Cricetulus griseus: one gene and its partner. The protein of the gene in region 1 interacts with the protein of each later gene in a pairwise test. Links are inferred from orthologs where the notes say so. Each region holds a gene or a part of one and is shown on either strand. Other genes may lie near its edges. The genes, in order: Hprt1 and Iscu.

What was found.
Region 2: the proteins of Hprt1 (region 1) and Iscu interact in binary tests that used the Homo sapiens proteins (3 or more experiments, as listed by UniProt). The two-hybrid records come from large-scale screens. The link is inferred for Cricetulus griseus from reciprocal best matches to the Homo sapiens genes HPRT1 and ISCU.

Annotation. Positions count from the first base shown.
Region 1 is NC_048604.1:17,040,355-17,044,638, forward strand, and holds the start of Hprt1 (hypoxanthine-guanine phosphoribosyltransferase), read right to left. Parts: upstream 3,002-4,284; 5' UTR 2,860-3,001; coding exon 2,833-2,859; intron 1-2,832. UniProt on the Homo sapiens protein: Converts guanine to guanosine monophosphate, and hypoxanthine to inosine monophosphate. Transfers the 5-phosphoribosyl group from 5-phosphoribosylpyrophosphate onto the purine.
Region 2 is NC_048597.1:93,416,762-93,421,086, forward strand, and holds the start of Iscu (iron-sulfur cluster assembly enzyme ISCU, mitochondrial), read left to right. Parts: upstream 1-1,457; 5' UTR 1,458-1,500; coding exon 1,501-1,614; intron 1,615-2,972; coding exon 2,973-3,086; intron 3,087-3,795; coding exon 3,796-3,906; intron 3,907-4,325. Other genes in the region: squamous cell carcinoma antigen recognized by T-cells 3, read right to left, coding at 59-373.

The DNA of each region.
Region 1 (4,284 bases):
GTTTCATGAAGGAGATCTAGTGCATGGTCACTTGGTCTACCTGTGTCACCAATCATATTAGTCTACACAACAGGGTCCATATTATGTAACTTTAGGGTATTGACATTAGATAAAGTCTGCAAAAACATTTGTCAATGCCTAAGACAGAGAAAGGTATCTAAGAAACATTTACTATAGCTCCTAGCTTAAATTTACTGGTTAAGGGTAGAATCTGGGGCCAGAGAACAGGTTCAAATGTAATGGCACTGAATGATTTAGCAAAGTTCCTTAACTCCTCTGTGTAAATTTTTTTAAAGAGTAAGTCAGGTAGGGGTTGGAGGATGGCTCAGTAATAAGAGCACTTATTACTCTTCCAGAGGACCTGGGTTCATTTCCAGAACCTCCATTGGCAGTTCACAATCATCTGAAATACCAGTTCTTGAGGATCTGATGAGCTCTTCTGGACTCCACAGGCACAGGGCAAGCATGTGGTTTACATACATACATGCAGGCAAAACAGCCATATACAGAAAAATTAGGAAAAAAATCAAGTCAGTTAAAGGACTTAGAAGAGCAACTAGCACACAGTAAGCACTAGTTAAGTGTTTTTGTGTTTGTTATTCCTAACATGCAGACAATTTAGGGGAAGGAAACTTAAAAACAAGGAACAGGAATTTGCAAGCTAAAAATAGTGAATTTCTTGATGTTCAAACAAAACTAAGAATAGTCACTTCTAAGATTAAGAACTAATTAGCTCTATACTCTACAAGTACCAAATCTCAAAACTTAAAGGCATCTGTAGAACTCCTCAGTAACCAAATAAAAATAACAGCAGACTGTTGCCCATAGGCTCCAGAGATAGATCTATTTTTTAAGGCAGAGCTCCACCGCCTAAAATTTATCCTTGCTTCTGGTGCTAATCTAAACCAGGGCTGAATACTTGAGGGGGGTCTCTCCCCCTATTATGTCTGATAATGTGAACACACCATTGTTACAGGGTTATTCTGAAAACTAATTAGGATCATCTATGTAAAGACAATGATGGTTATTATTCCTGTTTCCACCCAGGAACTGTGAAATGCTTGTTTATTTGCATATTGTCTTACAGTCCTTTCAACACCAGCAGCCAGCTCCTCAAACCAGAAGATGGCACATGCTTGCATGTAATCCCCTCACTGAGGTAGAAGCAAGATGACTGTAAATCCAAGGCCTGGTTTACTTGGGGAATCAAGAGCAGGACTCCAGGTCATTGAGAACAGAGTGTTTCAACGGGCGTTGGTGACGCAGGCCTTTAATCCCAGCACTTGGGAGGCAGAGGCAGGTGGATCTCTGTGAGTTCTGAGACCAGCCTGGTCTACTACAAGAGCTAGTTCCAGGACAGCCTCCAAAGCCACAGAGAAACCCTGTCTCGAAAATCCAAAAAAACAAACAAACAAAAAAACAGAGTTTCTACCTTAAGCCACACTGTCTAATATGACTATGAGACAGCATTTTTAGGCTCAAATGCTTATTAATTCACTCAACATACTATTAATGGAAGCTCCCCACAAACCAGGCATTGTGCTAGATGCTAAAGCTACAATGTTGATTCCTGACCTATAAAGCTTGTTTAAGGGCGGTAGCCTTTGGCTCAGAGGTAGACAGCTCACCTATCGGGAACAAAGCTCTGGGTTCAGTTCCTACCACGAAAAAAAACTCAGCAGGCCATGGTGTTGCAGTACTTGGGAGGCAAGAGTCAAGAGGACTGTCACAAGTTCATGACCAGCCGGGTGGTTTACATTGCTAATTCCTAACCACCCAGAGCTACACAGTAAGACCCTTCCAGAAAAATGAAAATAATTAGTTTGTGTAAGTGGGAGAGACAATCAACAAGTAACCAGGTAACTACGAAATCTACCACAGTGATATTAATAAAGAATGATATGACATTTAATTAGTAGTAGGGGCAATAATCACAATAAAGCAGGCTAAAATATTTAATCGGAGGCAGGAGCTTTAAGTTATTTTAGCAAGCAAGGTTGTGGAGCAGAGTGGGGGATCAGCTTGTCAGGTTACGAAAAATAGAGCCAATGGGAGAAGAGACAAAATACAGGGGCTGACTGGGGGGAAAATGTCCTTTAGCCTAACAACTAAATCCATATTTAAAAACAAATTCCTCACAGCATCAAGGACAAATGTATCTCAACCCCAACCCCAAGCCGTGGGAAAAAAAATGAGCCGCCTTTTCACTAGTCTCCTCAGGTGGGAAAACAGACATGCTTTTCCAGTAGCAGGGCCGCAACGCGGATTCAATGGAGCAATTGCGCATTCCACAAATACGAATTATGACATCTGCAGAATTAGAGGCAAAGCCCAGGCCTGAACGTGCCCTCCCATGCTGTCGTGTAGGGTACTGGAGCTCCTTCCAGAGGCGCCCCCCGAAGCTCTCCCTGGCCGCCAAGCCCCGAACTTCAAGAGCAAGGGTCTCCCCGAGAAAGCTCCCCCGCCCTCTCCCCTCTCCCCTCTCCCCTCTCCGTGAGGTATCTTTCTCCAAGTCGCCCTCCGCCTCTCCCCGCCGGGCTCCCGGTGGCCGCACATGTCAAGGCAACGCCATTTCCACCTGCCTGCCTCACAAGCAGTCAACCGTCTCGGGGCTCCCAGGGGAGACCCAGCCCTGAACCCCGCCATTCCATCCTGCTGCCCGCCGCCCTCTGGGGACGCGCAGCCGGATTCCGGGAAGCGGTGACCGCCCCCGCCCCGGACTTCCGCGGGCCCCAACACCCAAGGCCCGCCAACGGGCCCCGAGCGGCGCCACTGAGCAGCCAGCCGCCTAGGCCTGGCTGTCCCGCTCTGCTGAAGAGTCCCGGGGCTCACCACGACGCTGGGGCTGCGGGTCGCCATGACGGAATCGGTCGGCTGGCGGGAGCGAAGAGCGGTGTGAGGAGGAAGCCCGCAGAGGAGGCGCCGAGGCACGAGAAAGCGGTGAGGTAAACCCAACTAGCTTCTCCGCCGCCTCGGCAACGGGTCACAGACGCCGCTGCCGAGGCCCCGCCCTCGGACCGCCCCTCGGACCGCCCAGGCCCCGCCCCTGGCGGCGAGGGTGGGCGTTCTCCCGCGCTCCTCTGCGGGAGAGCCGCTACTGGGTGGCTCCTGGGGCCAGGTACTCCTGGGAATTTTCTTCTGGAAAAATCCAGCACTGGTCACACAGCAATTTCCGGGCCGCTTCCAGTATCCCAGAGGACTCCCAAATAATCAAACCTACCTCAGTTCGCATTTCTTTTTCTCTCCTCCTGACTATTAAACTGGTGGATTCTTCAGGTTCTTGTCACCATGTGGTTCCTCAAGCCAGACGTCCCCTTCCCAAGCCCCACATGGTGGATGGCTTCCATTTTCCTGATTTAGAAGCAGTTCTTTAAAAAAAAAGTCCTTACTTAGTTTTAAGACTTGAGACCTACAACCCTAGAATAGCCTGATCAGGGTACAGAACCAAGAGGAAAAGAAAACTGCTTTGTAACCTTGTAAAATCGACCCCAAACTGCTTTTTGCCTTTACATAGAATGAGCATTTTTAACGCAGGCGAGGTAAAAAAAAAAAAAAAGCAGATTATATGCCCAGCTACCAAGAAGGATCGAATATTCAACATATCTGGGCAATTTAGTAAGAAATTGTTTCAAAATAAAATTTGCTAAAGTGTACTAGGGACTGAGGAAGATATTTTGCCCTCATCCTCTGGCCTCTTGAAGCTGCTGCACAGGCGAACGCGCCTGCACATGACTGCAATATGCTCATACAAAGGAAAGAAATGCTCATGCAAGTTCATGTTACCAAGGAAGCTGTTGTCATTGCTTACAAGGGGAATTTTAGCCATATGTGGTAACATGCTTGTAATTCCAGTACTCTGGAGGTAGGAGAATTGCAATTGTGAGTTCCAGACCAGCCTGGGATACAAAGTGAGGCCCTGACAAAAGAACAACTGACTAACTAATGTTTGAAAAAAATGAAAGAGTCGCCGGGCGTTGGTGGTGCATGCCTTTAACCCCAGCACTCGGGAGGCAGAGGCAGGTGGATCTCTGTGAGTTCGAGGCCAGCCTGGTCTCCAGAGCGAGTGCCAGGATAGGCTTCAAAGGTACACAGAGAAACCCTGTCTGGAAAAACCAAAAAAAAAAAAAAAAAGAAAAGAATGAAAGAGCCAAGAGTATAGTGCAGCCAGAGTATGTGGGAGGCTCTATGTTCACTATTCTATATCACAATAAAGAATGAACAGCCAATAAAGAATGAACAGCTGGACAGTGGTGCAGACAACTTGAATACCAGCACTCAGGAGGC
Region 2 (4,325 bases), on another chromosome or scaffold:
CGACCTCCGAGCGGGCGGGCCAGGCCTGGGTACCCAAGGGAAGGAGCCCGCTGCCCACCTGCTCCTCCAGCCGCTCGATTTCCAGCTGGTTTTTCTCCTCCTCCTCGTCGTACTCCCACTCGTCCTCCCCGGGGGAGCTCTCAGCGGAGGAAGCCATGGCGTCCTCCTCATCCCCGTCACTCTCGCTCACGCCTTCCCGCTGCAGGTCCCACCCTGGCCCTTTGGTCTTGGCCGCGTCGGAGGCCACAGCGCGGGACTGCACATTCCTGTCCGCACTGGCTGCCTTCGCCTCATCCTCCCCTCCCTCGGCCTCAGGCCCCGCCTGGGGCTCAACCTCCGGCTCGGACGCAGAGGCTGCAGCCGCAGTCGCCATCTTGCGCAGCTTGCGAGTCTCGGGTCTTCCCTCGCCCGCCGAAGCCCGGCGAACGTCGGGCTGTCCGCGGCGTCCGCCTAATCAGAACGCCGCTTCGTCAGCACTAGAAGCGGCACGGAGGGCCTGGAGAGGCGGGAAACCCGTAAAATAACCACCGCGGATATATCTTTATATTTCTAAAGGAGGCAATGTCGGGGGAAAAAGGCTCATGAGCATAACGTGAATTCCGTTACAACTTTGGACAGCTGTTGGGTCTTTGAACCGGAAGTGGCGGCCACAGCGGAAGTCGTGTGAGCGTGGTGTCTGTGGTTAAGGTCGAAACGCCATCTTAAGAAGGTCAAAGTCATTCTTGGGACTGAACGCCTTCTGCCTCGCTCAGCCGGCTCTAAGTGCTTGCTTGTTTCCCAGCAACCGAGCCTCGGGTGCAGAAAAAAAAAAAAAAAAACTCGGGTTCCTCGGCGATCGGATTGCACCATTCACGAGAACGTTCTGTCTCCGGAAGGATAAAGCGTCCTCCTAGGTGTTAACCCCGTGAATTTTGTGACTTCACAGGTTCATAGCCAGTGTTATTGGTAATGTGCAGTAAGTGTTGTCTAGGGATGCCGTGCACTGCCATAAAACGGGGAGTTTCATTCATGGATATGTCGGGGCGTTTCCTTCTTACACTTCTCGTCCTTGGGGTAGAAAAGCGTTGGCGCTTTTCAATGCACACTGCCTTTCTCCTTCACTAGCAAGGTTAGCGAGGCGGGAGTCGCGTCCGTCTTGCTTTCCGGGGGACCCCCCCCCAAGATTCTGTGGTGACGCCCCGTGTGCACTCACTACGCATTTGCTCCAGATGAAAGGGCTGTGCTTGAATTAGCAAAGAGAGCCCGCTTCCTGAGCCACGCAGCCAGAACACGGAGTTTAACCGGGACTCGCGCCAGTTCGAACCCCAAGCCCGCCCGAGACCCCTGCGGCGGCCCGAGCAAAGCCCCAACACCCAGCCTAGCGCCGCTTCAGACCTTCCCGCTCTGTGCCCGCCACGCCCCTCCCGGGGGCGGGGCCGACGGCCGCAACGCCCGGTGACGTCAGGCTAGCGCGCCCTGGCTTTGACGTCGCCGCGATCGACGCAGGTGCGAGCCGGCAACATGGCGGCGGTCGGAGCGGGCCGTCTGAGGAGGGCGGCTTCCGCGCTGCTGCTCCGGAGCCCGCGACTGCCCGCCCGGGAGCTGTCGGCCCCAGCCCGGCTCTATCACAAAAAGGTATGGGCTGGCGAGGGGGTGCGCGAACCACCGAGGGGACGGGCGACCGGCGCCAGCCGGGTGCCCCTGGGAGAGGCGGTCGGCTCCCCAGCTACTCCCCGGCTCGCCTACCCCCGCTGCGCAGTTACCCGACCTGCAGCCGTTGCCCGGATGAGCACCCCCGACGATCCCGCGGCAACCTCAGCCCCGCCACTTGGAGTGTCCCGACTCTGCCAGCCCAGAAGGGAGGGTCCCGGTATGTCATGCCGGGGGTCAAGGGGCGCCACACACACACGTTTCTGAATCTGAGCTCACTGCCCAGCACCAGCGTCCTCGCCAGGCCACTGCCATCGCCTGACCCGTCCCCCCAGATCCAAAAAGGGTCCTCGGCAGCCCCCTGTGTGCGGAGCGCTCGGTCCAACGAATGGAAACCGCTTACGGCCATGTTGTTATTTTAAGAGCTGATGGGCCCCGGGCGAACCAAGCACCTAACCTACGTACAACTTTGGCTCTCGGTTATTTGTTTGTGTATTTTCGGGGAGCACAAAGTATAGAAGGGTAGGTAGTTTGTGGCCCCCTATCTTCTAAGGACGTGAAGGCCCCCTGACAAGAGACTCTCGGGAAAGAAAGAAAAAAAAAACAAAAAAGACTACCACAGCTAGACAAGACATCAGATGAGATGTGCGTTGTGGGGCCTCAGGGCTTAGACTCAATCTGCAAATGAGGGCGCCTCCTGGTAACTAGCCAAAAAAAAAAAATCAAAGTTATTAAATCTTACTATTCCTGACTGTAATGTCTGTCTGTTATATTCTTGTCTGTTATATTCTTGTTTGCATGCTTTTGCCAAGGCCTTCAACCCCCCCCCCAAAGAGGAGCGTGTTTTGTTGACATTAGTATCCACAGGAATTTGGGCGGGCTGGAAGCCTTACGGCACCAGGGGGCGCTCCTGCACCAGGGTGGCATTGTGTTTATGTTTACAGCCACAAATGGCGCGGCGCCACGGCGACCTTGGCTCATCTGAAACAGTCACCTTGACACTTAGGAAATCTTCCATTTGGGGCCATTTGTACCCTTGGAGTTTTAAAATGCGTAATTCTCTTACGACAGTATATTTTGTTTGGTAAAAAATGTAAGTAAGTGGTGTTTGAGCCCAAAGCTGGTGTCATTGTGTAAGTCACGTGATTAAATTGTGGTTGAAATACCTATGAACCTAAGTTGTAACCTGAGTTTCTTGCCAATATCTCGGACAGTATCTCCTAGATGAAGGTCGTCAGGAAGGAGACGGAAAGAGTCTACGTCACACATTGCCCTCCCACCTCTGTCCCATTGGGATTGCTGACCCAAGGGAGATGGTGAAGTCTGTTAATCTGTCGTTTCAGGTTGTAGATCATTATGAGAATCCTAGGAATGTGGGGTCCCTTGACAAAACATCCAAAAACGTCGGGACCGGATTGGTGGGTGCGCCGGCGTGTGGTGACGTCATGAAACTGCAGGTACTGGCTGGATGGAAAGGATCACCGTAGCAAATCGTCTTGTCTGTCCATTCCTGTGAGACAGATTGAGTGGCTGTCATGGATGGTGAGGGTAGAGGCTTGTCTTGTTCTGAAACAGATGACTTCATTTTCCTCTTCACTGCATCACTGTAGACCCCTTTTCAGTGAGTGAAAGGCTTTATGAATGTTACTGGCCAATGGAAGAATCCGCATGAGCTAGCACTCGACAGTGAGAAAGGGAATGTGCTAACCGAACCTTTCCAGGAAGAGGAAGGGGCGGGAGATGATGTGTATCACCTGAGTAAGCAGTAGGAAGGAGCCACTAATTATAGTCGGTGTCCAAGACATTAATGAGGACCTGGATTGCAGGCTCTCCTGGTGCCTAAGGAGGCCGATAGAGGCAGCAGCTGTCAGCAGACTTCTGCTTAGAATTCACATACAGCAGACTAGGGTTGAAAACAACCAAAGTAGGGTGAGAGCCATCGTTTCCCTGCTCCTCTCTCTCTACCGGCTGGGCCTGTGTGGACCCCGAGTTTCACTGTCAGTGACTGAGCTCTTTCAAAAAAAACAGTAATCAGTGCCATGGCATCTGGTGTGGGCAGCAAGCCAGGGCTCATTCATAACACACACTGTGGGCCAGAAGTTCCAGGCTCTTGCATTCTAGATGTCAGGTCCAGGAATCACCTCTGAGCGCCTGTTTCTTTTCTAGATCCAGGTGGATGAGAAGGGGAAGATTGTGGATGCCAGATTTAAAACATTTGGCTGCGGCTCCGCCATCGCCTCCAGCTCCCTAGCCACGGAGTGGGTAAAGGGAAAGACGGTAAGAGTGGTCACAGATTGTATAGAATTATTTAATCCCAGCACTCAGAAGGCAGAGACAGAAGGATCTCTGAATTCCAGGCTAGCCTTGTGCACATAATGAGACCTGTTTCAACATAATCATAGAATTAAATCAGAATTCCCTGCAACCCTGGCTCTGGAAGAGTCTAGTCATAAATCACAAAACAAAAAGCAGGAAGATGAAGATAGTTAGTTCAAAACCAGCTTGGGAAAGGCAGCAAGACCTTGCTTAGGGGGAAAAAAAAGATGTCAATGATTTCTTGAAGCCATTTTCTAAAGTTTAATACTGGTTACATTCCTCACATTGGGAGTTGTGAACCATTTTGAGGCTTTTTGTTACTGTTACTTGGTTATCAGCTAAATAGACGAGGGTCATCACCAGTCCCTCTGACCAAGCAG